4 linked regions of the Rhinolophus ferrumequinum genome follow. The main gene of each other region encodes a partner of the protein of the gene in region 3 in a complex. Links are inferred from orthologs where the notes say so. Each region holds a gene or a part of one and is shown on either strand. Other genes may lie near its edges.

What was found.
Region 1: TCTN1 (region 3) and B9D2 share a complex: the UniProt entries of both Homo sapiens proteins name them as parts of the tectonic-like complex. The link is inferred for Rhinolophus ferrumequinum from reciprocal best matches to the Homo sapiens genes TCTN1 and B9D2.
Region 2: TCTN1 (region 3) and B9D1 share a complex: the UniProt entries of both Homo sapiens proteins name them as parts of the tectonic-like complex. The link is inferred for Rhinolophus ferrumequinum from reciprocal best matches to the Homo sapiens genes TCTN1 and B9D1.
Region 4: TCTN1 (region 3) and MKS1 share a complex: the UniProt entries of both Homo sapiens proteins name them as parts of the tectonic-like complex. The link is inferred for Rhinolophus ferrumequinum from reciprocal best matches to the Homo sapiens genes TCTN1 and MKS1.

What each region holds. Positions count from the first base shown.
Region 1 is NC_046298.1:39,663,869-39,671,565, forward strand, and holds the start of B9D2 (B9 domain-containing protein 2), read right to left. Parts: upstream 3,020-7,697; 5' UTR 2,936-3,019; coding exon 2,676-2,935; intron 2,206-2,675; coding exon 2,114-2,205; intron 1-2,113. UniProt on the Homo sapiens protein: Component of the tectonic-like complex, a complex localized at the transition zone of primary cilia and acting as a barrier that prevents diffusion of transmembrane proteins between the cilia and plasma membranes.
Region 2 is NC_046304.1:160,427-168,061, reverse strand, and holds the start of B9D1 (B9 domain-containing protein 1), read right to left. Parts: upstream 3,005-7,635; 5' UTR 2,831-3,004; coding exon 2,768-2,830; intron 1,123-2,767; coding exon 1,054-1,122; intron 1-1,053. Other genes in the region: tryptase gamma-like, read right to left, coding at 3,816-4,043, 4,663-4,829, 5,365-5,624, 5,705-5,855, 6,637-6,667. UniProt on the Homo sapiens protein: Component of the tectonic-like complex, a complex localized at the transition zone of primary cilia and acting as a barrier that prevents diffusion of transmembrane proteins between the cilia and plasma membranes.
Region 3 is NC_046308.1:6,243,210-6,250,329, forward strand, and holds the start of TCTN1 (tectonic-1), read left to right. Parts: upstream 1-4,119; 5' UTR 4,120-4,180; coding exon 4,181-4,400; intron 4,401-4,516; exon of another isoform or gene 4,517-4,681; intron 4,682-6,029; coding exon 6,030-6,150; intron 6,151-7,120. UniProt on the Homo sapiens protein: Component of the tectonic-like complex, a complex localized at the transition zone of primary cilia and acting as a barrier that prevents diffusion of transmembrane proteins between the cilia and plasma membranes.
Region 4 is NC_046304.1:27,437,705-27,445,565, forward strand, and holds the start of MKS1 (tectonic-like complex member MKS1), read left to right. Parts: upstream 1-4,844; 5' UTR 4,845-4,850; coding exon 4,851-5,008; intron 5,009-5,159; coding exon 5,160-5,291; intron 5,292-5,716; coding exon 5,717-5,820; intron 5,821-6,930; coding exon 6,931-7,001; intron 7,002-7,435; coding exon 7,436-7,591; intron 7,592-7,861. UniProt on the Homo sapiens protein: Component of the tectonic-like complex, a complex localized at the transition zone of primary cilia and acting as a barrier that prevents diffusion of transmembrane proteins between the cilia and plasma membranes.

The sequences.
Region 1 (7,697 bases), on a different chromosome or scaffold from region 3:
GTCGTTCGCCGTAATCGGAAGTGTCTGTACACTGATGATAACTACTTTTAGCACCTCTTGTAATTGTAGAAGTCAAACGTGACTTGTATTCATCTTTTATTATCATTATTATTATTATTGGAGAATATTGGGGAACAGTGTGTTTTTCCAGGATGTCAAGTCGTTGTTTTTTCAATCTAGTTGTGGAGGGCACAGCTCACTGGCCCATGTGGGACTTGAACCAGCGATCTTGGTGTTAGGAGGATGGCACGACAACCACTGAGCCAACCGGTCACCCACCAGCGGCTCAGTTCCAAGCTCAAGCCATTGTTTTCAATCTAGTTGTGGAGGGCACAGTTCATTGGCCCATGTGGGAATCAAACCGGCAACCCTGTTGTTAAGAGCTCGCGCTCTAACCAACTGAGCCACCTTGCCACCAACTGAGCCATCCGGCCGCCCCTGTGTTCATCTTTTGTTATTGGTATATATTATTGCAATTTTAATATTTTTTTCCTTTTTAAAATGTGTACACATTTTTTCGGCACCCTCTGTATAACCCCCATTTTACAGGCAAAGAAACAGACGCTGAGAAGGAAAGTCAGTTGTCCATTCATTCTACGCACATTTATTGAACACGTGCTGTGTGCCAAGCACTAATCCCCATGCTGGACGTAGAGCAGGACCGCAGCAGACCAAGGTCCCATGGTGTAGCAGGACTCAAACTGAGCTCTGTCTGACTGCAGAGCCCAAGCCCTTTATCCAACTGCCCCCAAGCTCTCTGCTGGATTCAATGCCCCCCACAACAACTCCTTGAAATAACAAAAACCTTATGAGTTGTTGCTCCCTCTGGGCTAGGGGAGGAAAGCACCAGGCCTTGAGTCAGGCTTTTCACATACAATACTTCCCAACACCCCTGTGAGGGACAAATATCCCACTTCACAATTGAGGAAACTGAGGCTCCAAAAGGGGAAAGCACCTGCTCAGGGTCACAGAGCAGGTGAATGGTGGGGCCCAGAATGGAAACCGAGTTTGACTCCAGAGCCTGCCTCTTCATCAGCTCTCCTGGAGAACCACAGTTTCCCAAGGAATCTCAACCACCACCCTGGCCACCAGTGGAATTGCAAAGGACCCAGGGCCGGAAGAGATGATGATGACAACAACCACATTCCTTTCACGGGCATTTATCTGTGTTGGGCAACATATCAAGGGCTTTACAAACAAGATTCCATCCAATTTTTACACAAGCCAGGCAGACACTGAGAACTTACTAGGCCAGGCCCTCTCCTAAGTGCCATTGTTATTCATTCAGTCCTCATAACCACCCCATAAGGTAGGTGGTTGTTATGCCCATGTACAATCAGGGAAAGTGTCAAGGTCACAAAATTAATAAGCAACAGCTGGTTTTGAACCTAGGCAGTCTGTGCTCTTAACTTCAATACTATGCTGCCTCTCAGTTGCTATTAGCTTCACTTTCAGACAAGCAAACTGAGGCTTGGTTAAGTCCAAAGGCCTCCAATTAATAGGTGGTGGAGTTAGTATTTGAGCCCAGATCTGGAGGTCCTAGCCAGGACACTATACCAGGCTCTACTGCCTCCCATGGGGAGGCATGAAAACTGGGCCCTTCAAGGTCCCTCCTGGGCCTTGTGGATGGACTTGGATGACTGCCAGAATGGGGTTCCTACCTTCTCACAGAGAATTATGAACACAGGAGGGTAGTCTCTCTGTAAATTTGGGATGGAAATTTCCATTTTACAGTAACTCAATAAATGGAGGCTGTTAAGCAAAGAATTAAGAGCGAGGAGGGTCCCAGGGCACCCCTGAGACAGTGAGTGAAGTAGGGTTAAGGCTGTCTGGTGTTCTGAGGATTGGAGTGTGTGTGTGTGTAGTCTAGCCTATAGTCCCATATCCTTAAGGGCTATGTGTTCAGAGGTGGGAGCCAGAGCCTCCAGAGATGGGCTGGGAAGGGATAAGAAGGGAGCCTGAAATTCACATGTACACAGTGTAGTCAGGGTTAGGAGTGCTGACAGCCGATGTAAGACAAGGAGTAGCGACAGGGCCAGTTGGTCAAGGAAAGAGGGTGGAACCTCTAGGCTGGGGGTCTTGGTGGGGAAATGAACCAGGCCCCGCGCAATACCTGTGTGCACGCCCCACTTGCAGAAGAGGCTATTTTCTGAGAAACCGGTGGCCCCCACGATCTGCCCAATCACGTGCGCCTCAGCCATGGCCCTGAGAGGAGAAAAATATAATCACAGCCCTGTTAAGGACACTGTTTCCACCTGACAGATAGGAAAAAGGCTCTCCAAATAAGGGGCAGTACTAGGATTCCAAGCTAGTTTCGTCAAACCACTGAGGCTGGGGTCTGAACCATGATCCTAATTGCCTTTCCAGGAGAGTCTCGAAAAAAATGAGGGCTGGGCTGAGGAACTGGCGTCTAATTCAGCCGGCCCCTAAAATAAACTCTTCCTCTTAGTGCAACGGAAAGCCCCGCCTCAAAGGTCAAGGCCCCGCCCACAAGCACAAAAGCTCCGCCTCCTAGTGTCGTCGGCTCCCCCCAGCTCCCTGACGCGCATGCGTTTTAAGTGCAGAACCACCAAAGCCCCGCCTCTAAGCATACGCATGCGCTATTCCTATTTCAGAACACCTAACGGTTAGGAGGGGTGAAAGCGGCAGCGGGGGTAAGAGTTCATGGGCCTGACCTGACCCTCTCTCCGCGGGCGCTGACTCCCAGGCCTAGTTCGCGCTTCTCCCAGGACCTTCCGGACAGCGAGAGATCCGAGGTGCCGAGCCTTTCGCCGTCGCGCCCGCCTTCGGCCTCCCTGGTTGTTACTAGGGCAACAGCAGCCTCCCTTCCTTGCCTTATTGGCCCTGCTGCCTGTGGGGGCGGGGCTAAGGTGTGATGGACGTTCTCTCCATTTTGGGAAAAGCGTCTCCCAGTCACAACGCAAGGTTCTGGCATTTGGGGCGTGGCCTAACAGCTGCCATCTTGAGTGTGGCTGAGGAAGTTTGAGCGCAAACTGTATTTCCCAGATAACTGTCTTAACAAAATAAACAAGTCCATCGATTCCCCATACCCCTCCAAACTCCTCTCCAGCGGGGACCACCAACCAGCGACTTGAGCCAGTGCCAAGGGGGACTCCCCCTCAGAAGAATGCACCCTTCTGCTTCATGACTGGAAAAAAAAAAATCCTTCCTCAAGTTGGGGAGGGGGTTTTCCTTCCTTTTTTAAAGTTCCCCAGGGTCCAAGGGACTGATAATCCAACTTCCCTCTCAGAAATACTGCCCAGTTCTGTTGTGCTGATTCTGAGCAAGGGGTGGGGTGTGGTGAAGTGGTAAAAATGAGGAACTGAGGCTCCTTTATCTGCAGAAAATCCGCTCTAGAAGACTGGACTCTGCCAAGTAACTTGTGTGACGTTGCACAGCTCTAAGGTTTCAGTTTTCTCATCCACGCAGTGGACACAAGGACAGTGACTGAGCCAGAGGCTCTCATTCTGATTTCCTGAGCAGTGCCTTTGCCGCTTTCTAAATAGAGTTTAACCATAGTGCTTTATTCCTCCAGCCCAGACCAGGAGTCCAAAGGGAACTTAGCTTCTTAGTCCCTTACTTTTTAGCAAAATGGGGCAACATTTCAATAGGACAATATTTATATAAGGGGCCGGCCCGGTGGCTCGATGGCTCAGGCGGTTGGAGCTTCGTGCTCCTAATGCCAAAGGCTGCGGGCTCGATTCCCACATGGGCCAGTGGGCTCTCACCCACAAGGTTGCCGATTCGATTCCTCGACTCCCACAAGGGATGGTGGGCTGCGCCCGTGCAACTAACAACAGCAACTGGACCTGGAGCTGAGCTGCGCCCTCCACAACTAAGACTGAAAGGACAACAACTTGACTTGGAAAAAGTCCTGGAAGTACACACTGTTCCCCAATAAAGTCCTGTTTCCCTTCCCCAACAACAAAAAAAAATTTATATAAAGACAATTATTCAATGGGATAACATTTCACTATAGGTATGCTTGAAAGCTACCATGTGTTGTTATTTCTTTGTGTCAGCCCCCCAAAACTAATCTTTTTGCATACACAATCTCCTTTAGTCGTCAGACATGTCGCTGGGTAAGTAATATTATCAGCTTAATTTAAGATGAAAAAAATAGAGCAAAATCATTCGCTTTAAGCCAAATTGATCATAATTCCATTTGACTCTGTCCCAAAACTTTGTTCTTAACCTCTCTGCTATCTTACCTCTCTTGGATACATGTCCCAGAATCAAAGGATTATGGGGTGTCATCTAGATGCTATCACTTCCCACATCCAATCAGTCATCAAGTCCTGTCAGGGCTCCTTAAATATTTTTTTCTTTAATTGGTTTCTTCCCCCCTGGCTGATATTAGTAATTAAGAAAAATGCTTCCCAGGTCAACTGCCTGGATTTAAGTCTTGGCTCTGCCCCTTCTGTGTGACCTTTAGCCCTCAGTGCCTTATTTTCTTCATTTGTAACATGAGAATGAATGATGGTACCCACCTCAAGACTATTGTCAAGATTTAATGAATGTATGAAGCTGTTTTAAAATATGTCCACAGATTCTTTGACATCCTTTCTTTCTTTAGGTAGAACCTAATTCCTCTACCCTTGTGTGAAGGCTGCACTTCTAGCTAATAGAGTGTGGTAGAAGTGTTGTGTGACTTCCAAGACCAGGCCATAGAAGGCATCGAGGCATCCTCCTCCCTCTCTCTTGGATGGTTCACTTTGAGAGAGACCAGCCATCATGAGGTGACAACAGTACAGCAGTCAATGGAGAGACCCACATGGGGAGGCCACATGAGGCCTCCTGACAACAACTAGCACCATGTGAGTGACCGGTCTTGGAAACAGATATTTCAGCGTCAGATCTTCAGATGACTATTGCACTGGACCAACATGCTAACTGTAGCTTCATGAGCCACCCTGCGCCAGAACCACCAGCTAAGCTGGCGCCAGATTCCTGACCTACAGAAACTATGTCAGTGATAAATATTTGTTGTTTTAAGCCACTGAGTATGGGGGGATAATTTGTTATGCAGCAGTAACAGATAACTAATAAAATACGTAATGAATTCAGGATAGTGCCTGGCGCATAGGAAGCACTGTAATATTTGCTGTGATTACTGGTTTTTATTATTGTTACTGAAATGAAATATTTTACATATTTTTCCAAGAAGCACAGTGAATATGTACTTTTTGCTTTTTATTTTTAACTTTTTAAAAATTTTGTTAAAATATACATAACATAAAATTTATTTCTGAACCATTTAGTGGCATTAAGTACATGCGCATGATTGTGCACCCAATCTCTAGAACTGTTTTCATTTTGCAAAACTGAAACTGTACCCATGAAACAAAAACTCCCCATCTTTCCCTTCCCTAGTCCCCGACAACCACCATTCTACTTAGTGTCTCTATGAATTTGACTGCTCTAGGTACGTTGTATAAGTAGAATCATTTAGTATTTGTCCTTTCATGATTGGCTAATTTCATTTAGCATAATATCCTCAAGGATCATCCATATTGTAGTGCATATCAGAATTTCCTTCCTTTTAAAGGCCGAATAATATTCAATTGTATATACACACCCCATTTTGTTCATCCATTCATCTGTTAGTGGACACTGGGTTGCTTCCACTTTTTGGGCTATTGTGAATAATGCTGCTATGAACATGGGTGTACAAATATCTCGTCAAGACCCTGCTTTCAGTTCTTTGGGGTGTATACCCAGAAGTGGAATTGCTAGGTCATATGGTAATTCTATTTTTAAGTTTTTGAGGAACTGCCATACTGTTTTCCATAGTGACTGTATATATTGTTTTACATCTTGCTTTTTTCACTCAGTGAAGCATCTTGAAAATTTATCCATGTCAGTATACAAAGATCTAGCTTACTCTTTTTCAAAAATAACTGTTTTGAAGTATAATATATGTGCAGAAAAGTGCACAAATCAAAAATAAGGAGCGAGGTCAAATTTCATGAACTGTACTCACATGGTAATTCAGCTCAAGAAAAGAACACAAGCAGCTCCCCAGGATGCTCGTCATGTGTCTTCTAGGATGCCCCCAAGGGTGACCACTAACTGGACTTTTAACAACATGCATTAATTTTGCCTGTTTTTGTACTTTGTATAAATGAAATCACATAGTATGTATTGTTTTGTGTCTGCCGCCTTTTGCTCAGAATTTTGTTTCCGAAATTCATTTGTGCTTTGGCTTCGGGCTGTAGATCTTGTTCATTCTCATTGCTTTATAAGTTTCCTGTGTGTGGAGATGCTACATTTATTTATCCATCTGTTGATGGGAATTTGTCTTTTTGTTGGACATATGTTCACATCTAGTTGAAATGGAATTGTTGGGTCATAGGATATGTTCAGCTATAGTAGGCATTGTCCAGCAGTTTTCCTGGTGGTTGGGCCAATTTGCAATGTATGAGAGTTCCTCTTTCTCCACATCCTTACCAACACTTGGTGATGGAGTTCTTTTTCATTTTGGCCATTCTGGCGGGTGTGTATTGATATCGAATTATTATTTTAATTTGCATTTTATTGATGACTAATTGAGTATTTTTATTAATGTCCATTGTTCTTTGTATTTCCTCTTTTGTGAAGTTTCTGTTCAATTATTTTGCATATATATATTTTGCATATATATATATTTCATAACATATATATATATATTTCATAACTCATTATTTCCAACAGTCAAATCCTCCTAAGAACAAGGGAGGATTCTCCTATATAATCATAATACCAATTAAACATTTTCCACAGTATCAATTTAACATTGATACAACATTGATCATCTAATTTATTGTTTATATTCAAAGTTCCCCCATTGTCCCAATAACATGCTTTATCACCATCTGCTACTTTGTATTTAGTTGTCATGTTTCCTTACTCACCTTTAATATAGAACAGGCCTGCCAGGTTTTAAATTTTTTGTTATTGTTTTGTTTTTCGTGACAGTGACATTTTTGAGGAGCACAGGCCAGACACTTTATAGAGTGTCCCTCAATTTGGCTTTGTCTCATGTTTTCTTGTGGTTAGGTTCAGAGGATGGATTTTGAGCAAGAAAACCAGACATGATGTTGTGTCCTTCTCAGTGCATACCAGGGGGAATGAAGTCTATTTGTTCCAAACTAGTGACGTCAACTTCTACACCTTAAGGTGATGTCTGCCAGTCTTCTCCATTAATACTAATTTTTCCCCTTTGTAAAAATATAATAAGTCATCTGTGGGAAGATACTTTGAGACTAGATAAATATCCTGTTCCTCATTGAAATTTCATCAATGGTTTAAGCCTCCACTGATGATCCTGGTTGGAAATTCATGTTTAGTATTCCAGGACCATCACAAACCCTAAAAGGCCTGGGCTTCTTGTGACCCCCTAAAAGGGGTGCATTTGCGGGGACTGTACAAGGCTGATGGTGGCCAGAGAGATCTAAATGGAAGTGAATGAATCTCAAGGGTGGCCTAGCGAGACGAAGGGACCCATAGAACTCGGAGATTCGGTAAAAAACTGAGGTTGGTGGGAATTCATGCCCCCATCCCACTAATATGTACTAAAGGCCTGCTTTGTGCTAGATGCTGTTCTAGGCCCTGAGCCATTACAGCGAACACAACAGATCAAATCTCAGGCCCTCTGCAGGTGACACTGATTGAGAGGATTGAAACGACAAACAACAGAAACATATACAGTAGTCTCC
Region 2 (7,635 bases), on a different chromosome or scaffold from region 3:
GTCCCATCCTGCCCCTGGGAAAGGTCAGGACCCTGACTCTGACCTACCACGCCGTCTGAGACCTGCCTGTCTGTGACCTCCCTGCTTCATCCCCAACCACTCTCCTTGCTCACTCTGTACACTGGCCACACTGGCCTCCTCGCTGTTCCTCAGACGTGCCAGGCACTCTCCTGCCTCAGGGCCCTTGCACTCTCTGCTCCTTCGACCTGACAAATTCTTTCCCCAGATTTCCACATGGCTTATTCCGGCCTTTCCTTCAGGTCTTGACTCAAAAGCTACCTTCTCAGCAAGGCCTTACCTGGCCACCTACCCATTATACCTTCCCTTCCTGACTACTTTCTCCTCAGCACTTACTACTAGCTAACATACTGGAATGTGTCTGTCTTCCCCCAACAAGAACGTGCACTCCAGGAAGATAGAGACTTTTGTCTGACTTTGTTCCCCACTGGATCCCCGGCACCCAGAAGACTTTTAATAATTATTCAGTCAAATGGGTGTACAGAAAATAAGAACCGTCATCTCACTTGCACGATGAGGAAACAGAGAGGTTGAATGAGTTGGGTCTCTATTTCCTCAACTGCTGTGAGGATTAAATGAGAGCTCTGCAAACCATAAAATGTGATGCAGGCCGAAGCTGCCACCACAGTCCTGCTCCTGGTGGAGACAGAGTGTTCCTTGGGACGTCTGAAAAGGAGAGCTCCGGAGTCCTCCCCACAAGCTGAGGAGAAGCCAAACAACGAAGGGACTGGCCCACAGTGTCTATTGGCTCAGCCGCTTCCAGGCTGGCTCTCTGGGGCCCGCCCGCACTGCCCATGCATTTCTGTTTGCTGCCATGCGCACGAGGGCTCGTGAGTGAGCACAGCCTCAGATCACGGATCAGTGAGCCCAGTAATGTTTGTGTTTTCCACTCCAGCTTTACCAGGAACCAACTCATGGATGGGTCCCCCCCTGAACTGGGTGGGTTCTAAACTGGGAAGAGAAGGGGTACGACTGACACCTTCAGAAACGCCAACAGTCATGAAGGCTGTAAAGGAGGCCTAAGGCCCAGCTTACCGCTGTGGGGGCCCAGTCCTGGCCATACACAAAGCAGTACTTGCAGTAGAGATCATCGTACTCAGGGAACTGTGGAAACAAGCACACACAGGGTCTGTTTATGGGAACTCGTGTGAGGCCAACATGTTAGCTAGGCAGGTGTAGCCAACAGTCATTCTGAACGTGAGACCCCTGGGCTGGGATCTAAGTGACAACCAGGAATGTGGACATGGAATTGAGCACTGGGGCTCGACATGTGGGAGTTCCACGGGTCCCGAACTGTTACCGCCCCTGGGCCTCAGCTCAGCCTCCGCCTTTTGTCTGACATGCCCTTCCCATTCCTTCCTCTGGCAAACTCCTACTCATCCTTCAAAACTTACCCTTCAGGGAGCCTGCCCTAACTTCTAGGCTGTCTGAAGGGCCACCTCCCAGCTCCTTCAGTCCCTGGTGCTTCCCTCCAGCAAAGCACTTGCCTGTGTTTATTCCTGTCAACCCCATGAAGCTGTGAGCAAGGAACAAGTCTGATGCCTTTCTGTGTCCCCAGCACCTGACACAGAGGAGGTCTAAGGGAATGGTGCTGAAGTGAAAGGTCTGACAATCCAGGGGGCTATCAGCGCAGGGAGCATAGGCCTGAAGAGTGGGAGGGGCCGGGAGCTCTGAGAGGGGGAGGCAGAGTGGGAGCGGGCTGGGTGCTGAGAATGCTACACCTGACCCAGTCCAGCTGAGAGCCCCAAGTGAGACAGAAGAGGGGACGATGGTCTTGGGCACTAGGCCAAGGGGCAGGAGGACAGGGTGGGAATATGGAGGAGCATCCCTGACGAAACAGGAAGGCAGTAAGACACCTACTAACACTCAGGCCCTGGCAGAGCTTTATCTAAACCATCTCCATTAATCCTCACAATGATAAAATAATAAACACCATCTCCAACAGCCTGGAAGGGCAGTGGAGCAAAGCTTTGGTGTCAGAAAGACCTGGATTCAAGTTTCCAGCTTTGCCACTTCCTTTGGGCAAGTTTTTCCATCTGTAAAATGGGGAAGTAAAATGAAGTAAGATCTACTTCACAGGGTTGTGAGAACTGAATGAGCAATGCTGAGCTTCGAGTATGGCACACAATGAATACGTACTTAGTAAACTTTATACACCACACACACACACACACAGACACACACACACACACACAAATGGTTCTTATAAAATGTAGGAGGATGGATAATGGCGAGTAGCATCCCCTGGCGTCCGACAGGCACACCCTCCCTGGGTCATTCCAGGCCACCGCCATCGTTGGATCAATTAACTTAATCATCTCCATTCCCAGCCAAGTTCAAGGGTCTGAGTGTTCAGAGTGCGGGGCACTCGCAGGGCACCGGACACGGGGCAGATGCCTCGAGCTCCGTTACGAGAGGACAAGGCCCAGTGTGCTGGCCGCGCCTCCGCTCCTCCGGCGAAACCCGCGCGAGGCTCGCTGTGACTCAACAGAAGGCGCACGCACGATCGTCGCGCGGGGCCGCAGGCTCGGCCGGGCGCGAGCTCGGTCCCAGCTCCGCCTCTGCGGGCACATCAGGGTGGAGGGCTCCCAGCAACCTCGCGCCAAGACTCTCAAATGCTGGCTCCCTTTCCCCGCAGAACCGAGGCATGACACGCCTCTTTGGGGCCACACAGCGGCCCAGGAGGTTGCGGGGCGGGTCCCCAGGGGAGCGTGGGGGTGGGACCGCGGCGGGGTCCACGGCCGCTCACCTGGGCGCTCTCCACCTGCCCGTTGACCATGAGTAGGAAGACGCTGGGGCCCGCGGCCGCCATGGCAGGGGGCGCACGGAAACCACCCGGGTTCCGCGCGCGATTGCCCACAGGCGCCGGGGTTGCCCTGGAAACAGATGGCGTGGCGGGCAGAACACGTTTCTTGAAAGCCCGACCTTCGAGAAGGCGAGCGTACGTGGGCGGCGGTGCGCAGGCGCAGTCCGCGGCCCCTCCCTCCTCCGGGAATGCTGGGAGAGTCCACGCGAGGCAGGGGCGGGAGTGGGGGCCGGGATGCGGAAGCCAGCCCGGCGCCCAATCCCGTCACAGCCGCGGCCCTGCCCCGCCCGAGCGGGCCTCGGCAGCGCTCGGCCGGGAGGCGGCGCTGCGGCTTCATCTCGGGGCGACGGGGCGGGGCCGCGGAGGGAGGGGCGGGGCCGCGGAGGGAGGGGCGGGGCCGCGGAGGGAGGGGCGGGGCCGCGGAGGGAGGGGCGGGGCCGCGGGGTCTGGGGGGCCGGCTGGACCGGGCGCTCCGCGTCGGGTCGGGGGGACGCTCCCGCGGGGCTTTTAAGGCCGTCGTCTCCAAAACGTTTATTAAACAAAGATGGAGGAACCTCAGAGGATACTTGGAAACGAGTCACCGCTCCTCAGTGTGAAGGGGGAAACTGAGGCCCACGGGGTGAGCCAGAACCCACGGCTCTGTCAGGACATTGTTCAAATGACAGTTACTCCGCAGCTGCCCCGAGTGGGTCGCAGCTACTGTTAACACATTGATCCGGTTGCTCTTAGCTCTCATGGTTTGCATTCGCACATTTATTATTTATTATTGTCATAACTCGGACTAAGGCTCGCCCTCCCCGCCCCCCCTCCCCCCAGGGCCACCCTGATCTGTGGCTCCCTGGCACATCTTGTAACAGCTTGTTAGCTAGGTGAATACCTGAATCCATCTCCATCACACAAAGAAGGAAGCAGATTCAGGAGGGGAGGCGACTGGGACACAGTCAGCAGGTAAGTTTAGGATTCAAACCCAGGACTCCACAGGCTAAAGACCCTAACCGCCTCTTCCTGGGCCTGAGCCAGGCCCAAGGGTGCCTCTTGGCTGAGCTGTAGAAGCCGGTGAGGTGGCGTTGGGGACCTTATCCTGGATCCAGGAAACGAAAGGATACACAGGACTGTAGACTTCTGGGAGTCCAGGCCCCATGCAGGGACTCCAGGTCATTACGCCCTGCAGCAACCAGCTGCGATTTTGGGAGCAGATTAGGGGAGTCCCATCAGACACCTGTGCCGGAGAGGAAAGGACAGGTTACAGCCAGCCCAGACCCACTGACCCCTCCCTCCACGTGAGCAAAGACCTGATTAGGGGGAGCCTGGGCAGCCAGTGTTCCTACCTCGGTCGGGAGAGGCTGGATGAGTGGGGCTCCTGTGCACCGCAAGGCTCTCAGGCAGGGATTTCTGCTCCCAGGGACTTGCATATTCCCTTTCCCAGCCCTTCAGTGTGTCTTCCCAGTTAAAATGCTTTCCCCCACAAATTCTACCACTGTCACCCAACTTTTTCCTCCTTGTGGCTTTTGAGGCTCAGTATTACACAAAAGTCAGTTTTCAACAAAATGCTTGTGATTATCAAATAACCAGGGGGCTCCCAGTAGTTTACAACCTGGCTATGTCAAAGGCTGCCTCACATTTGAATAGGACCTAACGGGGGAGACACCCCAAGGGTGGGAAGCTCTGGGGTGGCCATCAGGGGTGCAGATAAGCCGGTTCCCTGGGTTTTGTGGAATGGGAGACCCCAGGTGGAATGAGAGGGTAACCAGGCCTAGCTCGATCAAGTCTAGTGGGACTAGGAGGGACTGAGGTGGAGGGCACCTCGGGACCAGCAAGTGCCAGGCTGGGATCCTCACCACCAGTTTGAGGGCCCCGGGGAGGGGCCTGGAGCACTGGGAGCCTTTGGACAGGCCGACGTTCAGGTCAGGGCAGTCAGGTCGGAGGCGAAAGGCATCTTTGCAGGTTCTGATGTGGAGCGGTCTCAAGGGGACACTGTGCAGTTCTTGGGGTGGCACGTAGGGATCTGCAGGGCGGTGGGGACAGACCCTCAGCCCTGATTGCTATCCAGCAGGTTTGCAGCAGTCCTGCCCTGCCAGTTGTTAACATACTGCAAAGCTTCCCTGCCTGCCTTGTCTCCCCCCCCCACACACACCCTCCTGGGCTTCCAGTCCTCTGGACACTCCTCAGCCCCACCTCTCTCTTAAACAGTCCTCTGTTAGACTCTCACAGTCCCCTCAGGAAAGCTTCAAGCCCACTGAGATCTGGGACACACTTCAGCCTGGGGAGGGGATGGGGACAGTGCCCAGTGCCAGCCATCTGGGCTGCGTGGAGCTGGAAGCTGACTCAGGCAAAGCAGGGTGGCAGGGCCCTGCCTCTCCCTCGCAAGTCTGTGTCCGTGAGGCTGACCAGCGGCTGGCCCGGGCAAGGTTGTCCTCTGGGGCTCAGGGACTCAGGAGTACTACCTCTGCAGGGTCCCAGCAACACGCCGGCAGTGCTCCTCGTCCAGTCCAGCCTCCTCACCACCCTCAACCATCCCAATCACCTGCTCCCATCCTTACCGAAATCAGGCTCGAACCCTTGGGCCCAGCAGAGCTGCCACTTGAGTAAAGGTTGAGGCCAGGTGGCCAAAGGCACAGGCTGCACGGCACTGCTGAGAGATGGTGGCCTTGCCAGCCGGGCCAGGGCCAGGCCACCGGACCCAGAGCCCTTGGGCCCTCCTGGGGACAGCAGCAGCTCCTCCACTCTGGACTTGCTCTTGCAAGTGTCCAGTGCCAGTCGATCTGGGCCCAGGGTCACACTGTAGTGGGACTGAGGCCAGCTGTGGAGAGTGGGAGGCAATGAGGCTACGGTCCTCCCTCCTGGGGCCCCGCTCCACCACCTCCCCGACCCTGCACACACCTGCCAAAGCAGTTGGCTCCTGTGAGGACCCACTCTCGGGAGATGAGGGCCCCCTCGCAGCGGTACCGGGTATCCAGGAAGATGCTTGCCTGCCAAGGCCACGTGTCTGGGCCCTTTCTGCTGTAGGTCTCAGCAAGCCTTGGCCCTGCACCTTGGGAGAATGAGGCCTCATAGCTCAGCTCTGGGTCCCGGCATCCTGGACGTCTCCCATTCATCTCTTTCCTCTCTGTGCCCCCATCTTTCCATCCAGGCCTCTGCTAACCTCTGCAGCCGCAGCTCCCACCTCTTGCCCCCCACCCCCGCCCCTGTTTGAAACCACACTGCCTGCAGTGGAATCCTGTGTGACTTAGAGCAAGCTACTTAACCTCCCAGAGTCTCAGTTTCTTCGTCACACCCACAGGGCTGTTGTGAGGATTAGATGTGATAATATATGTCAAATATTTAAAACAAGCTGAAGTTCAATACCTTTTTAGCTGTTTTTCTTATTAAAGGTAGTTCTTGGAATACTCATGCTTTGTTATGCCTCCAGGTGTATAGCATATCATCCCCCAGCTGCTCCCCCTAGACGACGCCTGTTCAGGCTTCAAACCCCACCTTTGTGAAGTCTTCCTTGATCTCTCCCCATCCCCCCACAATCTGCCCTCTGGGAGGCTTTCCTCCCCTTCTTGCCCAGGAGCTCATTACAGGTGGGGGTCCAGCTCTCCTTGCTTTTCTCTCACAGGATCATTGCTAAGGCAGCTGGGCCTCCCCCCACCTTGTTAATCTAGAAGGTCAGGTCTCATCTACGTGGAGCTCTTCCTTGCAGGCCAGACACCCCTACTCACTGCCTGTCACCTACTCTGTCCGGCACCCAGGAGACCTGGATTCTCAGCCCTCAAGGGATGGATCCCTTCCCCCTCTACTCCCCGGGCTCCCTACCCACAGCTCCTTACCAAACAGCAGGAGCAGCAGCAGTGGCAGCATTTGTAGAGGAGGCCCGAGTCTTGACTCCACTGGGTGTGGCCTCCTCCCTGTCAGCCCAGGAAATTTAACCACCCAATGCCCCCTCCCTCCCATACCCATGCGGCCCACGTCATAGGGCACAGGGGAACTGGCCTGGGGAAGAGGAAGCTGTGCGGCAGGGCCTGAACCATGGTGCAGACATCCTGCTTACAGACCTTGGCCCCTCCTGGTTTGGGGCCGGGGACCTCCTAGCTCTGGCCTGCTTTCCGTCTCAGGTGAGTGTCAGAGAGACCAGCCGACCGCGGTCGACAGCAACAATAATAATCCTCCCCCCACCTCTTCCCATCCCACAAAGCTCTGTAGCATCCATAGGACAGGGCTCCTTACAACAATCCACAAAAGCAGTGCTACCACCCCCTTTTATAGATGGGGAAGTCGAGGCTCAGGGAAGTGAAGTGACTTCCCGAGATCACAATGAGTTGGAACCAGAGTTGGGATTCGAAGTACGGCTGCTGTGACTCTTAAGTCTCCAGATTATTCCTCTCACAGCCCTTCCAGGTCTTTCTTCCTGGCTCAGCCTCTCAGCTCTCCAGTAGAGAGAGCTGGGGCCACGCCAGGAATGCCTGTTGGTTCCCTGTAGAATGGGACACAGGCCAGGCCCACAGCTGAATTTCACAAGTGACACAAAGCCCTCTGTGGCCTGCCGGGTCCCTCGGGTCCCTCCTGCTGCTGCCCCACCTCCCTGCCCCTCAACCTTGCAGTACTAGATGCCTGCACACACACTGTCCGGTTAAAAATCAAAAATCGTAAGCATTTGTTTTTGTTGGGGTGGAATTCACATGGCCTAAAACCAACCATGTCTATGTGTACAATCCAGTGGTGTTCAGTACATCATGTTGCCTTTACACACACTCTCCCTTCGCACCTGGAAGATCCCTTCCACCTTCACTGCTTGAAAGCTTCTTATTGAACTTCAAGATCCGGGTAAG
Region 3 (7,120 bases):
GAGGAAAGGCCAATCTCTTCAACAAATGGTTAAAAACTGGATATCCACATGTAAAAGAATGAAGTTAGACCCTTACCTGACACTATATACAAAAATTAACTCAAATGGTGTAAATACCTAAATGCAAGGCCTAAAACTATTACATTCCTAGAAGAAAACTGAATCAGAGAAAAGCTTGAACATTGGATTTGGTAATGATTTCTTGACTATGACACCAAAAGCACAGACAACAAAAGGAAAAATAGACAAATGGGACTACATCAAACTAAAAAACTTCTGTATATCAAAAGAGACATTCAACAGTGAAAAGACAACCTATGGAATAGGAGAAAATGATTGCAAATCATATATCTGATAAGGGATTAATATCCAGAATATATAAGGAGCTCCTACAACTCAGCAACAACAAAATGCTGATTAAAAAATTGGCAAAGGACTTGAATAGACATTTCTCCAAAGGAGAGATACAAATGGCCAATAAGCACAAGAAAAGATGCTCTACATCACTAATCATTAGGGAAACGCAAATCAAAACCACAGTGAGCTATTACCTCACACCTGTCAGGATGCTACTATCAAAAGAAGAGAAAATCATAAATGTTGGATGTGGAAAAGTTGGAACTCTTGTACATTGTTGGTGGGAATGTAAAATAGCGCAGCCATTGTGGAAAACAGTATGGAGGTTCCTAAAAAAATTTTTAAACAGATTACATTTGATCCAGCAATCCCACTTCTGGTATACGTCCAAAGGAATTCAAAGCAGGGTTCCAAAGAGATATTTGCACACCCATGTACATAGCAGCATTATTCACAATAGGTAAGAGGTGGAAGCCACCCAAATGTCTATCCACAGATGAAAGGATAAAGAAAATGAGATATACGCATACAATGGAGTATCATGTGGCCTTAAAAAATAAATCCTGTCACCTGCTACCACCTGGATGACCCTTAAGGACATTATGCTAAGTGTAACTTGCCAGTCACAAACGGACAAGTATTGTATGATTCCACTCATATAAAGTAGCTAAAGTAGTCAAAATTAAAGAAATAGAAAGTAGAAAGGTGGTTACCAAGGGCTGGGGGGAAGGTGAAGGTGGAATTAGTGTTTAGTGGCTACAGAGTTTCAGTGTTGTAAGATGAAAAAGTTTTAGACATCTGTTTCACAACAATGTGAAAACACTTAGCAGTACTGAATTGTACACTTGAAAAATGATTAAGATGGCAAATTTAATGTTGTATGTTTTTTTTACAATCATCATCATCATCAAAGGAATGGATTGTTGATACTCATACATGCAAGATGGATGAATCTCAAAGGCATTAGGCTAAATGAAAGAAGTCAGGCTCAAAAGGCTGCATTCTCTATGCTTCCACTGATGTGACATTCTGGAAAAGGGAAAACCATAGGGAGAGAAAATAGATCAGTGTCATCAAGGGCTGGGATGGCGGGAGGGACTATTAAGGGGCATGAGGGAACTTTTGGGAGTGGTAATATTGTTCTATGCCTTGATTGTGGTTGGGATCACATGACTGTATGTGTTTGTTAAAACTCATAAAACTGTACACCAAAAAAAATGTACATTGATGCATGAGAAAAACCTGGATATCAGAAACTGTACATAAAAATTTATACTGTATTAAGTTATCCCTCAATAAAACTAAAAAGAAAAGTGGGGTAAATATGACAAAAGTTCTAATCTGCATGGTCTTGGTCCAGTGTACAGTGTTCTTTTTTGTACCTTTCATTGTGATTGAAATGCTTCAATCTGAAAATAATAAAAACAATAATGATTCTTAAAAAGCTAACTAGTTTATTCAAACTGCAGTATGGTCTAATAGGACGCAAGTTTAAAGTTGTCTGATAAACAAGGAATTCTTATTTCATTCCTGTCAGTGTTATGTCTGTGACCGTATTTATAACTTCATTTTCAGAAAAGGTCAAACTTGTACATTTGAAACCTTTCAAGATAGTGAAGTCTGCTCAATAGGCCTTCTTGCCCTCATGTTTCAGACAACATCTGAAGAGCAAGAATAGCACTGGTGGTTGACTAAGCACTTGGGGAATGGGAGGAGTAGAGAAGTTGAGGATTGCTTTCTTCTGAGTGCTGATCTAGAAATCTATTGCTAGATTGCTCACTTCAATCAAAACAATAGAGTCAATCCTTTGTCCTTACACAGCCTGGACCTCCCTGTAGGTCTAAGCAATCCCTTTATAAAGCTTGATGATTCTGCCTTCTTATTTGTAAAATATTTGGCTCAGATGAATAAAGATGGGTAGATATACTTGATCATAGGAAAAACTGTTTCTAAAACAGCTTAGAAACTATGACTCTAGCGATAATAATAATAATAACCAATTCATCCCAAACCACAGGAAACACCAAGACCGACTGGTTAACCCGGCCTTGTAAAGTCAGCCTTAGCTATTTTTCTGCCTAGCTAGTACTTCTGTCTTTGGTTTGTTTTCAGCCTCCTCATATGTGGCAGCTTCCAAGTACAAAATTCCAAAAAGCTGAATTGTCCTGATTCCTCCCAATGTTGGCACAGACTATGAGGAATTGAGAATGCCAATAATCTAGGAGAAACAGATGGACATTTTTAATCACAAACATTTACCCTACAACCTAAATGTTGCAGTTTTGGACAAAATATGGAAATCTTAGCCCTTCCTTGTGTCCTTCCATCCTAATAAGGGAACCTACCAAGGCCAGGGGAGAAGGAAGGGAGAAAGGATCATCTGGGTTGAAAGATGAAAAAAGCGTGGCAGAAATGGGTCACCTGTGAAATGACAAGTTTAGCGTTCCCAAGGTTTGCAAAATGGATCTGAGGTGATTCAACCCTCATTTCGATTTTCTAAACTGTCATAAAATTACGTTTGGGTCATCTCCCAAGTATCTGAGAGTGGACAAACGGGGTGGTGAGATTATTTCCTAAACCATAAAGCATAAAGATGACAATGTTAAATTTAATCTAACAGCCTAAAGTTTCAAAACAGAAAATAGGACAGAGTGATTCACAGATATTAAGGAATAGAAAAGAAAGTATCTAGAAGTAAACAGGTTTTTAAAAAACAATAGTGCTGGATTTAGAGTTATGGGATGAAAGTTTGGAAAATATAGTTGTTGTTTTTGTTAAAGGTAAGCATTACATCAGTTATTAAAAGTAGTCCAGAATTTCAGTCACATGTTAAAGCAATCCTTTGTAGAAAATAAAAAAGGAAATATCAGTATTACACATTTGATTCAATTACATTTTTATACACTTTGGAATGCCACAGAAAAGTACTAAAGATGTCCCTTTGATGATTTAGCTTTGCTATATAAATTCAATAAACTAGATATATATACTGTTTGGGCATTCTTCTAAACTGGTAAATGTGTTTTTTAAATAAATACCATGATATGTTTAAGTATTCTGACATTTACTTCTGAATTACAAGGATATTAAGTATCAAAGGTATTGCAAACATCCTGGGCCGGAGTATCTCTGTACATAAGTCACTTTGGAATGGAGGGGCTCCCCTAATTTTGTAGTCTTCAAGTCATTTTTAGAGTTACAGAGTTGCTTTGATTTTTTTCCTTTTAATACTTGTAAGTCATTCCACTTAATTTTTGTCAATGTTTTTTGACTGTAAAAAAGTTAAGTGTTCATTTGTCCCCTTTATCACAACACAACGAGCTGAAGTTATCTGGCGACCTGCTGCGAGATAAAACAAAAAAGGCAAACCAAGTGGTGACAGTGTGGGATAGAGAAAATTCAAGGATGGTGATGTCATCTCTGTGCTCCTTCAAAAGACCTTATTTAGTAGCGTCCCAAATTTCTGTCCCCCCACCGGTTGCGTCCGGACATTTGTTGAAAATATTGATTCCTGGACCCTGCCCAAAACTGTCTGAGTCAGAATCCCCTGAGATGGAATTTGGAAATCCGCATTTTTTAAACAAGCGCCCCAGTCGGCTTGGGAACCGCAAATCTGATATACACAAACCTCTAGTCTCCGCCGACCGGTCTCTCACCGCCCCTTGTCGCACAGTCCCGCGGTGGCCCGCCTCACCCAGGCCCCGCCCTCAGCCCCAGTCTCGCGTGTCTTCGCAGGATACTTCCCGTGAAGCCCCGCGCCGGCCGCTGTGGTTGCCAGGCAACGCGCGGTCCCTACCGCTGGCCGCACGGGTTCGCGGCGGCGATGTCGCCCCTCGGCTTCCATCCGCTCTTGCTGGTACTTATGGACTGCTGGGCCTCTGTGCGCGCCCAGGCCGGGGCCACCCTGGCGGTGACGACGGAGGCTCTCAACTCTACGGAGCCATCCCCGACGAATTTCCGACCTGCCTTGTCTCCTAGGCCCCCGGGACTCCCCAGGGTCCCCGGGCCCTTCTCCGGTCCCAGGCCCACCCCAGTCACGGATGGTGGGTACTAAATGCCAAATCCTGGGGATCCAGAGTGATCCATCCTGGAGGGGTAGCCCGGATGAGGATGTAATAATAATGATAGTTACCGTTTATTGAACACTTACTTTGTGCAGGCATTGCTAAGCGTTTCATAGGCATTAATTCTCTCAACAACCTTCAGAGGTAGATATTATCCTTGCCATACAGATGAGAAAGCCGAGGCTAACAGAGCTTTAATTGGGACAATATCAAATCCTTGAAAGTACTTGCAGAGGTCTTGGACAACATTCATGCGCAAGGTAATAATAAATGAGCCTTTGCAGCCAAAGTCGCAATTAAACCGAAAGTGTCTAGACAGTTGTGGAAATTAAATGCATAGGATGCACTGAACTTTTCACTTACCAAAAAGAGACCCCAAAAGTTTACCTTACTAAATGTAACCAGGTGAAATCTCACTGTCTGTTAACTTGAATTATGAAAACCCCGAATTCCTCTTGTGTTGAGTTCGAGATGGGAAGTTGTGGGGTGAAGGGTTATGTCCACTTTTTAGGATTCATCTTTAAAAAATTAAAAAACTTAAGTGGGAAAACTTTTGTGTTTCAGACTACGAGAGGATTTTGTATTTATTGACAAAACCTTCCCTTTGTCCTTACACACTTCTTTCCAGAGTATGTTATTGTACCTTTTTTGAGCTACATTTTTCTAAAAGTCATTTTTATTATGAAATAATTCATACATGCGAATAAGAATGTTTTATGGACTCTCTTCCAGCATTTACTTGAGATCCTTTTTTTGGGGGGGGTTGTTTTTGCATGAAATCCTTTTGAAAAAAAGAAAACATTGCAGGTTAATATTGAAGTGCTAATGTGTTTCCTGCCTACCCAGAAATAATTACTGCTATGAGTTCAGAGTTTATCATTCTCATGCTCTGTTATTTCTTTAAAAGGGGTTCCCACCCCCCATTTGACAGATTAAAATAGGGAATTAAAAATCCAGATAGTCGTCATTATTAAAAAATTAAAAGTTGCTACCTTTCCCCATGCTTTATTGTCTATATTACTAGAGATATTCCTACGGCCCCAAGTATAAAGCACTTGAGTCATTTTGATTCTTGGCCAATAAATAGCCTGCTAATGTGGGCTCAGCCTCAAAACTGCAGGTGATGTCTGAGGAGAGAAAGAAGATTGAGAACCTTGATTCCTGGTGGCCTTAAGTGGGCCCTTCCTCTGAATCAATCTCTAGGGGAGGAATTTGGGAATCTGCAGTATTAAACCGGTGGTTCTTATGGTCAGGCAAGTGATTTAGTTTGCTGGTTCTTAAACCTGTCTGAGTTATCAGCATCACCTGGAAAGTTTTTGAACAACACGGATGTCTGGGTTTCACAGTCAGCTTACCAGATCAGAGTCTTTGTATATAGAGCACAAACAACGTTCCAAGTGAGTGAGATGGTTGGCCACTTTGGGGAAACCCCAGCTTGAGGAGTGCTGGAACTGATTGATTTTCACTTCGTAAATTTCCCCCAAATTGCAATAGGAAAAACCAAATGGGCCTTTTGTATGAAATGGACTTTTGGTACATTGCAGTGGCAGGGGGCGCGGTCACTACCTGCAGATTGTGATGCTCTGTATCCCACCTGTCTTTCTGTAGTTGCTGCTCTTTGTGTCTGTGACTTGTCCCCAGCACAGTGTGACGTCAACTGCTGTTGTGATCCCGATTGCAGCTCCATGGATTTCAGTGTCTTTTCTGCTTGCTCAGTTTCAGTTGTCACGTAAGTTTGTGACACATGCAGTTTTGATAAAATCGGACCAAGATTATAAACTTTCAGGACGGAAAGTGAAAACTCCCCCAGGCTAAAACACCCAAACCTGATTTTCTGAGTTTTGCATCATTCAGAAGCCATGTTGTCCAAACCTGTATACAGAAGAGTTATCTATCCCTTATTTGCATCCAGCCAGATGATAGTGCAGGCAAAAGAGAAGAGAGTGTACTTTTTAAAAAGAGTATAACAAAATCTTTGTGTTCAAAGATGGAATTACATTTCAGTTTGATTTGTAAAGAGATAACATGTCACATTTTTGTATCAGTGAATTAGTTGTATTTACAGCCTAGGGTGAAAGGTACAGTTCAATTTTACAGCTTTTGTGGTGGACATAGTACTTATAACAAAAAAATTAAATAGTCAGGTAAGCTTTGTTTATATTTTTCTGATGTGTAAATCTACCAGGAATTCTCACAGTTCACATCATATAGGAAAATAATGGAAAATGACATTCCCAGTCCATTACACGGTAAAGAAATAATCCTTTCTGAATGATCTGTTTCTCCTAATTCAGATTTCAAAACTTCTGGGAAAAAACAGCATTTAAAGAGGCTAATTTATTCAGGATGGGATCAACATACTATTCAAAGATAGCCAATTTAAATTTAACCTTGTAGCAAGTGGTAGTAATTGATACTTGATAGATTGAAAGCTTTTTGCAAGTACAATGTGTTTTTCCCATGAGAAACTATTTTACTGACTAATGGGAAATTGAATTTACTTCTAATGTTGTAAAAATGCTTGGAGAATGGGATGTTGTAGTCAGATTATTTTTTTCTGGCTACCTGGACTACACCATGGTTTAGTCTATGTTGAAAATTATCCTGCTTTCCTGCCTTAGGAAGTACTAGGAGCCTGAGAGTGAGATTTCTGCCCCAATTTGAGATCATTCTTTAGAATATCAGTTCTTTTTTATTAG
Region 4 (7,861 bases), on a different chromosome or scaffold from region 3:
TCATTACCACCTAATTTCAACACCAAGAGCTGTAGCCACATGATTCTTTTGAGAGAAAAGCCAAAAACTTGACTCAAAATTATTGTTGCAGATATGAATATAGACTTGCAAAAGGTCATTGCTGATTTGGGGAAATTCAGTGAACTTGAATGACCTTAAACTTGAAAGAATCCCACAGTTGGCAGAAAGTTCTGCCACTTGTTAGAATTTACTGAAGAGATTAATTTCTTTGTATTTCCAGGAGGATACCAAGGAAGGAAGAAACACAGAAGGTGAATTTTAATGTCCCCATATTTTTAAAAATGGAAACGTCTTCTTGGAAGGGGAAGGGCCAGAGAAGCTAATGTCAGCAGAGTCCTACTATTTGGACACTCCTATTGCTCCAAGTCTTGACATGTCACTGAAGACCTGGGCTAACCTGTTGGTACACACTGTAAGGAAACGAGGGCTTCCCAAAGTAAAAGCAATTAATTATCAGAAGCTGAAATGTTTCTTGGGAAAAGACAGTTGAGATCTGGCTTTGACATATAAACAAACTGTTTCAGCGTCTGAGCTTCTGGGTACTGCTGACCTACTTTATTCTCCTACTGACTATAATAATGTCATGCCCATGTGGTCCCACCAGTTTTACCTGTCGACACAGTGCGCGGAAGGGGCTGGGAAAAGGTAGGGATGCTCACTCTCTGGGTGCCCTGCGTAAGTTAGCCTGGGTTTAGCCCATATCAGTGTTTCCTGGGATCAGCTTTCCAAAATGTACCTGTAGCAGAGGCTGTTGGTGTCCTGCCCAGGTCCTCTTGAGCAGCCGCTATCATGTTGACCGTTAACAGCTCATACCTACACCCATCTCAGGATTGCCCTTGGCTGATGGATGCTCCCTAGCCCAGAAATCCAGAAATGCTTAACAGGATTCCATTCCGCTTCTTTCAGGGAATCAACCAATTCTCCAATGAGCCCTGATTGCTTTGTAATGGAAGATGGTATTTAGAAACCAAGGTCTGGGTACCGGGAGTGCTCATTTCTACTGGGGAGTCACTGCTTCTAGACTGTCTCACTGGACAGAGCTATGAACTATATGTGTGGATACCAACTCATGCATATATACGTACATAACTATATTCATTTATGACCCTGTCTATATAGAGAGGGTGCCAAAAAATATATATGCACATTTTAAAAAAGGAAAAAAATGTATTAAAATTATGCTGATGGTAACCATTTTGAGCACCTCTTGTAATTGCAGAAGTCAAACGTGACTTGTATTCATCTTTTGGTATCGTTATATATTGAGTATTTCAATTTTAATACAGTTTTTTACTTTCTTAAAATGTGTATACTTTTTTTGGCACCATATATATATATATGTATATATATATATACACACACGCATATATATGTGTATCTATATATGTGTGTGTGTGTGTGTGTGTGTATATGTGTATTCTAGTTGGTAAATTTGTTTCTCAGAAGGGTATGGGTTAGCAATTCTGAAACTACTTTATATGTATATTAAGGTTGAAAAAATAAGTATATATATGTATATATAATAGATAAAAATATATTATATATACTTATAAAAGTATATAATATATAAAAATATATATATACTTATTTTTTCAACCTTAATATACATATAAAGTAGTTTCAGAATTGCTAACCCATACCTTTCTGACAAACAAATTTACCAACTAGAATATATCATTTGCGGATTTCTTTTTATCTTTAGCCTTCAGTTTCCAGTCAAAACACTGTTTTCCAAAGTTACTTAGGGTGGCTCCTTTCTTTCTCACTCCCTTCAGTGTAGCATATGAGTCATTTATAACAGTTAGATTCATTTTTTATAGTTTACATTACATTTTAGGTACCTCTCACAACCTGGTAAATAGTTTACAATTTACATACAGTAAAAGTCACTCATCGTGACACACAGTTCTATAGGTTTTAATAAATGCAACGAGTTGTGTACCATCACAACAGTTCCATATAGAACAGTTTCATTATCCCCCAAATTACCTTATACTGCCCCTTTATAGTCAACCCCTGTTCTCAAACCCAACCTCAGGCAACCACTTATCTGTGTTCCAGCTCTATAATTTTTCTTTTTTTTCTATAATGTCATATAAAAAAAAGCCACACAGGATATAGCCCTTTGTGTCCAGCCTCTTTCATTTAGCACAATGACTTCTGAGAGTCATCCATGTTGTTTTACTTTGTTTTTATTGTGGAGTAGTATTCATTGTATAGATATTATATGACTTGCTTAAACATTTACATGTTGGTAGACATCTGGGCTGTTTCCCATTTTTACTATTGCGAATAAAGCTGCTATGCACATTCACATTAGGTCTTTGTGTGGGTATATGTTGTCTTTGCTTTTGAGTAAATAATTAGGAGTGAGATTGCTGGATCATATTGATAGGGTGGGTAGAAAGGTAGAAATGAGCAGTAGAAGGATGGAAGCTGCTCTCACTTGGGGTACAAACACCTTGCTTGGTGAGCAGGATATTGAGAACAAGATATATCACTAGAAGAAGGAAAAATGCCTCAAAGGGAGGGAAACCATCCTGCTTACCAGAATATACATCCTGTTTCTCAGGGCCATTTTAATGAGCTTCTCAAATAAATCATGGGAAATTAACGGATTCGTAATTACACCCTGAGAAACAACCTTGGGAACCAGAAGGGAGGATGGGACACCTCAGCAGAGAGAGGGGGACATTATAGAGAGGAAGAGGGGGAAACAATTCTACCCATAGAAATAAAAACCTCTCAGAACGTAAGGAGAGGTGGCTTCCTTCTCTTGGGTCAGCCAGCTGCATGTCTTGGAGTATACTCACTTTTACTAATAAACTTCTTGCTGTCTTATGAAACACAAACTCTGTATCTTGATTGAATTCTTTCCTTCAAGAAGACAAAAATCGAGGAAAACGTCATTCCTGATAACAGTATGGTAGGTAAATATTTCACTTCGTAAAAAATGTCCTGTAATGATATTCTTCCTCTTCCTCTTCTTCTTCTGCTTTCCTAAAGTCTTGTAGTAAGGAGAGCCCAAGTACATTATAAAGTCACAACTGGGGAGGGGGAAGGGCTATTTTAATGTGGTTCAGATGGGACTGGTTTAGGAAAGAAAAAAATTGGGGGAGGGGTTGGGGATGAGTAAATATAAGGACGCAGCACAGTTCAAAGAAGAGCCCATAAGTTTGAGTCAGAACATCTGGAATGTCAGTCTCCAGGCTCTAGGCTTCCTACTCATAAAACCGTGAGAAATTTGATTAATGTCTTGGTTTACAAATATGTGAAAAGGAGGCAATAATATTTACACTTCATGATGGCTTATGTAAGTGTTTTCTAAACCAAAAAAATTTTTCCAAATGATGGAATGTGTTATTTTAGGGAGAACTCAGTAAATGTCAGCTCTGAATCATCCTGGTTGAGAATGAGGGTGGAAGGATTGCTGGTGGTGGTAAAACGGATTTTGCTCTTTATGCTATATAATCTAAACTTTAGACTTTTACCAAGATATCAGTGTATAAGTGTAGTGGGGATCAGGCCATTCTTGATATCAGAATACAAACTCCTTCCAGAATCTGATAAAAGCCATAAACTCCTTCCAGAAAATGCTCCCCACAAAATTCTAGGAAAGAATTCATAGACTCCTTGAACACCAACACCACTTACGGACTCTGGCTTTAAGAATACGGCTTTACAGGCACCAGAAAATAAAAAATAGAATTTTACATTCTAGAATTTCACAATAGAATTTTATAACCTAATTTACCTGTATAAAAATAATTCAATTATGGTTACTTATACAAATAATATATTTCCATACCATTATGGTACAGTAACTATTTTGTTTATAATTATATCAGATTGACTTTGCTGTAAGTTTTATTTGGTTATAAAACTAAACTGTTGATGCAATCTCCACCTTTATCATTTGTTGTTCATGTGGCACAGTGTTGTATATTCACAACTTTAAAAGGAAAAATTAGAGAGACTATTTCTGAAGAGCTAGTATTCTGCTTCCATGGTTTTATCAGTTGAAATAATTATTTCCCAGGTTGGAAATTCTGTCCTCTTAAGGAACAATCTGGTAGGTGAGAGGTTTTGAGGTTCTACCTCAAAAGGTGTTCAGGCTTCAAAAGAAGGTGTAGAAGGTGTTCAGCCTTCAAAAGTAGCATCTGGCTAGAATCCGATTTCCTTCACCACTTAGAGTTCTACCTAAACAAGCCCTTTTAAGCCCTGGCCTTCACTAACTTCATCAGTTAAATGGGAATAACAATACCTACTTAAGGGATGTCTATGGGGATTAGGGACACTATAAACGAAACACTCAGGCTGTATTAATGATAAATAATAGTGCTATTATGGTGAGTTCTTTGTATTACACAACGGTAATGCCATATAATTAAACTGGCATAAGATTCCTGACTTCAGGGGACAATTACTTTGTCGGGAGGATCACCAAATGACACGACCTTTGGAGGTTATGGTGTATCCTGCCTTTGACAGTCCTTCATTCAGCCTGACTTCTGAATAGTACTTTGTTGGCTTTTCAGAAGGCCCGTGCAGTATCTAAGGTCTTAAAAATCCGGAACTGACACGCAGGGGAAAACCAGTTCAATAACATCTTTTCTTACCTTACTGTTTTTCCTTTAGTAAATACCAACCCAAGCAATAATAAATCTTCTGACATTTTTTTTTTCGGTCCAAGAATATATTTTTCATGTCTGAGTAAGTGTCATCACCTTCCCTGACCCCTTTGGGAGAAATGGAAACAGCCTGTGAGTCACGTCCACCCATTTTCAGGCCAAAGTTCCGGAGCATTCAGTGGAAGTCAGTGTAGTGTGATGGAAAAAGTAGTGGTCGGGATTCAGGGACCTAGGTTTGGTGCCCATAACCACTTAGGAATCTTTATGAAAGGGGCCCAAATGGCTCTGCTTAGTTTCCTCATTTGTAAAGTGCATCAAGTCGGCCTGGGTGTGAGTGAGCTTTGTTCGCACAGGAGGTAAGCGGTACTTCCGCGGGGCCCCAGCCTGAGAGGGGCTTTTGGCCTTGCCCAGGCTTGCACCCGGCTGACCGCTGCGGCGCAGCGCCGAGAAGCGAGAATTGCTTCGCAGCATCTCCTCCGCCTCCCAACCCAGCGTCTGCGTTGCTAGGAAACTGGGGTCGGCGCGCTTTCCGGCGCAGTCGCGGCGGGTTGCAGCTGTCATGGCGGAGACCGTCTGGAACACTGACACGGGGGAAGCTGTGTATCGCTCCCGGGACCCCGTGCGCAACTTGCGCCTCCGGTAGTCGCCTCGCCTCAGAGCCCCGTGGTTTCATGCTGTCAGATAATTCGAGCCTGAACGTCACTGCTCAGTGTTCGGCGGCCCCCACTTCCGCTTATAACCCTGCTCACTGCCTCCGCGGTCTCCCTGCGTCTCCCCTCACTACCCGGAACCCTCTCCACGCGCATCTTCCAGACTTACCCAAGCTCTTTCAAGTCCCTGCCCCTCCCAAATTCCTCGGAGCCCTGTGTCCCCAGCACACTCTGTCATCCTTAGTCTTCCCCTTGGGACCCCGCGCCCCACTCACCTTCCCTCAGTTGCCTGCACCCCGCACACTTTGGTAGCCCCACCCTCTTCCGTGTCGTGTTTCCCCCATCTTTGCTTCATGTTTATCTCCTGGTTGTGTGTCTTGTAACGAGTATTTTGGGCTTCTTTTTTCTTCATAGAGTCCACCTGCAAAGAATCACATCAAGCAACTTCCTACATTACCAGCCTGCTGCCCAGCGCGGGAAGGACATAGACTTGGCCACTTTTAGGCCTCAAACCGCCAGTGGGTGTATGGTGGGGATGTGTCCCCTTGGGGATCTGGGAATCGCCCAGGGTGGTAGTTACCTCTTAAGACAAAATAGACGGAGGGCTGTAGTCTGCGAAAAGGCGTAGAGAGGTTGGGTTTCTTGCCCAAGGTCGCGCAGCTGGTAAATGTTGAAGTCAGGATTTGATCGTAGGCCATTTTAACTGCTATATTATGTTGTGTATGAAAATTTAATAAGACATGATTCTTGTCATCAAGATACAGATGGTAATTATGGTCAAATGTAGTGAAATACCAAATACCACATTTTAGATATGTTATAAATTTGCCCGGCGACTTAAATTCCATTTGTGGCATTTCTTTTTTTCTAAGAGAAAATATGCTCCAAATTCTAAGTATACATATAACACTTTTAAAAACTATTTTAAAATTGGAGTCTGCTTGAAAAATGTGCATATTAACATCAGCTGTGCACTTGCAGTTTTCCTTATCCGGGAAGCCAGAAGAGTGCGGAAGAGAGGGCAGTGTGCTTGTGTTAGGCCACTAATCTCTTTTGTTGATTCTGTTCAAAAAATATTCCTGGGAAGAAGTGTGGGCTAGTGGGTTGTGAAGCATGTATCTCTGAAAAAGGCATACTCAGCTAGGAGAGTATTAGATTTGGTTTTTTATATAATATTTACTTGCCTTTCCTCTTCTCTCCTGATACTTGGTTTCCTACGGTTACAGTGTTTGTGATTCTAGATACATGGCTTCAGGCATAGGAATGATAAAAATGCCAGGGTTTCCTTTCTAGCAAAGGTGGACAGTTGGGATTGAGGACGAGCTATTCAGCTTAGATCTAAATTTCAGCGCTTGACACTGAATTAGATTAAATAATTCCTGGAAGGCATGACTTCCTTTTATTCAAATTAGAGTAGTGATTAAGACATATTGGTTCTTAATCCTGGCTTCTACATACACATCCACAGTCTTTCCAGCCTTTGTCTAGAGTGAGTGCTTAATAAATCACTGAACTCCAACTGGTTTTGTGGCAAATATACGAGCAGTGACTTTCATTATAATTAATCACAGAGCAAGAAGTGGTTCTGGTTTGACCCAAACATTTGACTCACTCTGTTGTCTTTGGAGGTGGACACCGCCCAGATGAAGATGAAGAGGAAGAGGTCTTGATTGGGTGGCAGGAGAAGCTCTTTAGTCAGGTGAGCCAGTGTCACTTGTCTGCTTGGTCTTCTACCTGGTCCACCTCCACCTGGATGGTATCAGGGAAAGATTCTTGGTACATATTGTCAATCTGATTTCCAGAAAGCTTGAAGCAGTTTATACTTTCCCCTGTTGTGTTTACAGGGGCAGTAACATACTGACTGTCACCACCCAGTTTTATGATCCTGGGCGAGGATTTTTCACCTCTGAGCCACATATCATCTGTAAAAGTGGAGTTGGATTAGACCATCACTCTGGTTCCTTTTAGCGCTAACATTCTTTGGATCCCATACCCTCCATTAGTTTAGATAAATGAGAGTTGACCATGAAAATGTATCAGATCGTTTCAGCTGTATGGAACGGCTTTAATTAAACAGATGTAGGAACAAAAGTTTGGTATATTCTCAGAAGATCTGTTTCTTTGTGATCTTAGTTTGAAGTAGATCTGTACCAAAATGAAGTGGCCTGTCAGAGCCCTTTGGATCATCAGTACCATCAAGAGATCCTGAAGCTGGAGGACTCAGGTGGCAGGAAGAACCGACGAATCTTTACCTACACTGACTCTGATAGATACACCAATTTGGAGGAGGTATTGTTCTTTCCGAGGTCCCATAGCTTCCTTCTCCTTTGGCTCCCTGAGCTTTCTGGCCTCACTGGGTGCTTTGTGTTAAATCAGCAGCCTATGAAGGGGCGACAAGAGAGCCTGTCTAGGAACTGCCTTGTGCCGCTGGCAGCCAAGCTGGAGCAGAGTAGGCACAATCTGCAGGTGGTGTGGCTGCTGCTTCCTTCTTCCTGCTGGAGGGCCTGGAGGACCTGACAGGGTTTCTAGTGTAGGCTTGCAGACTACAAACCGGGAGAA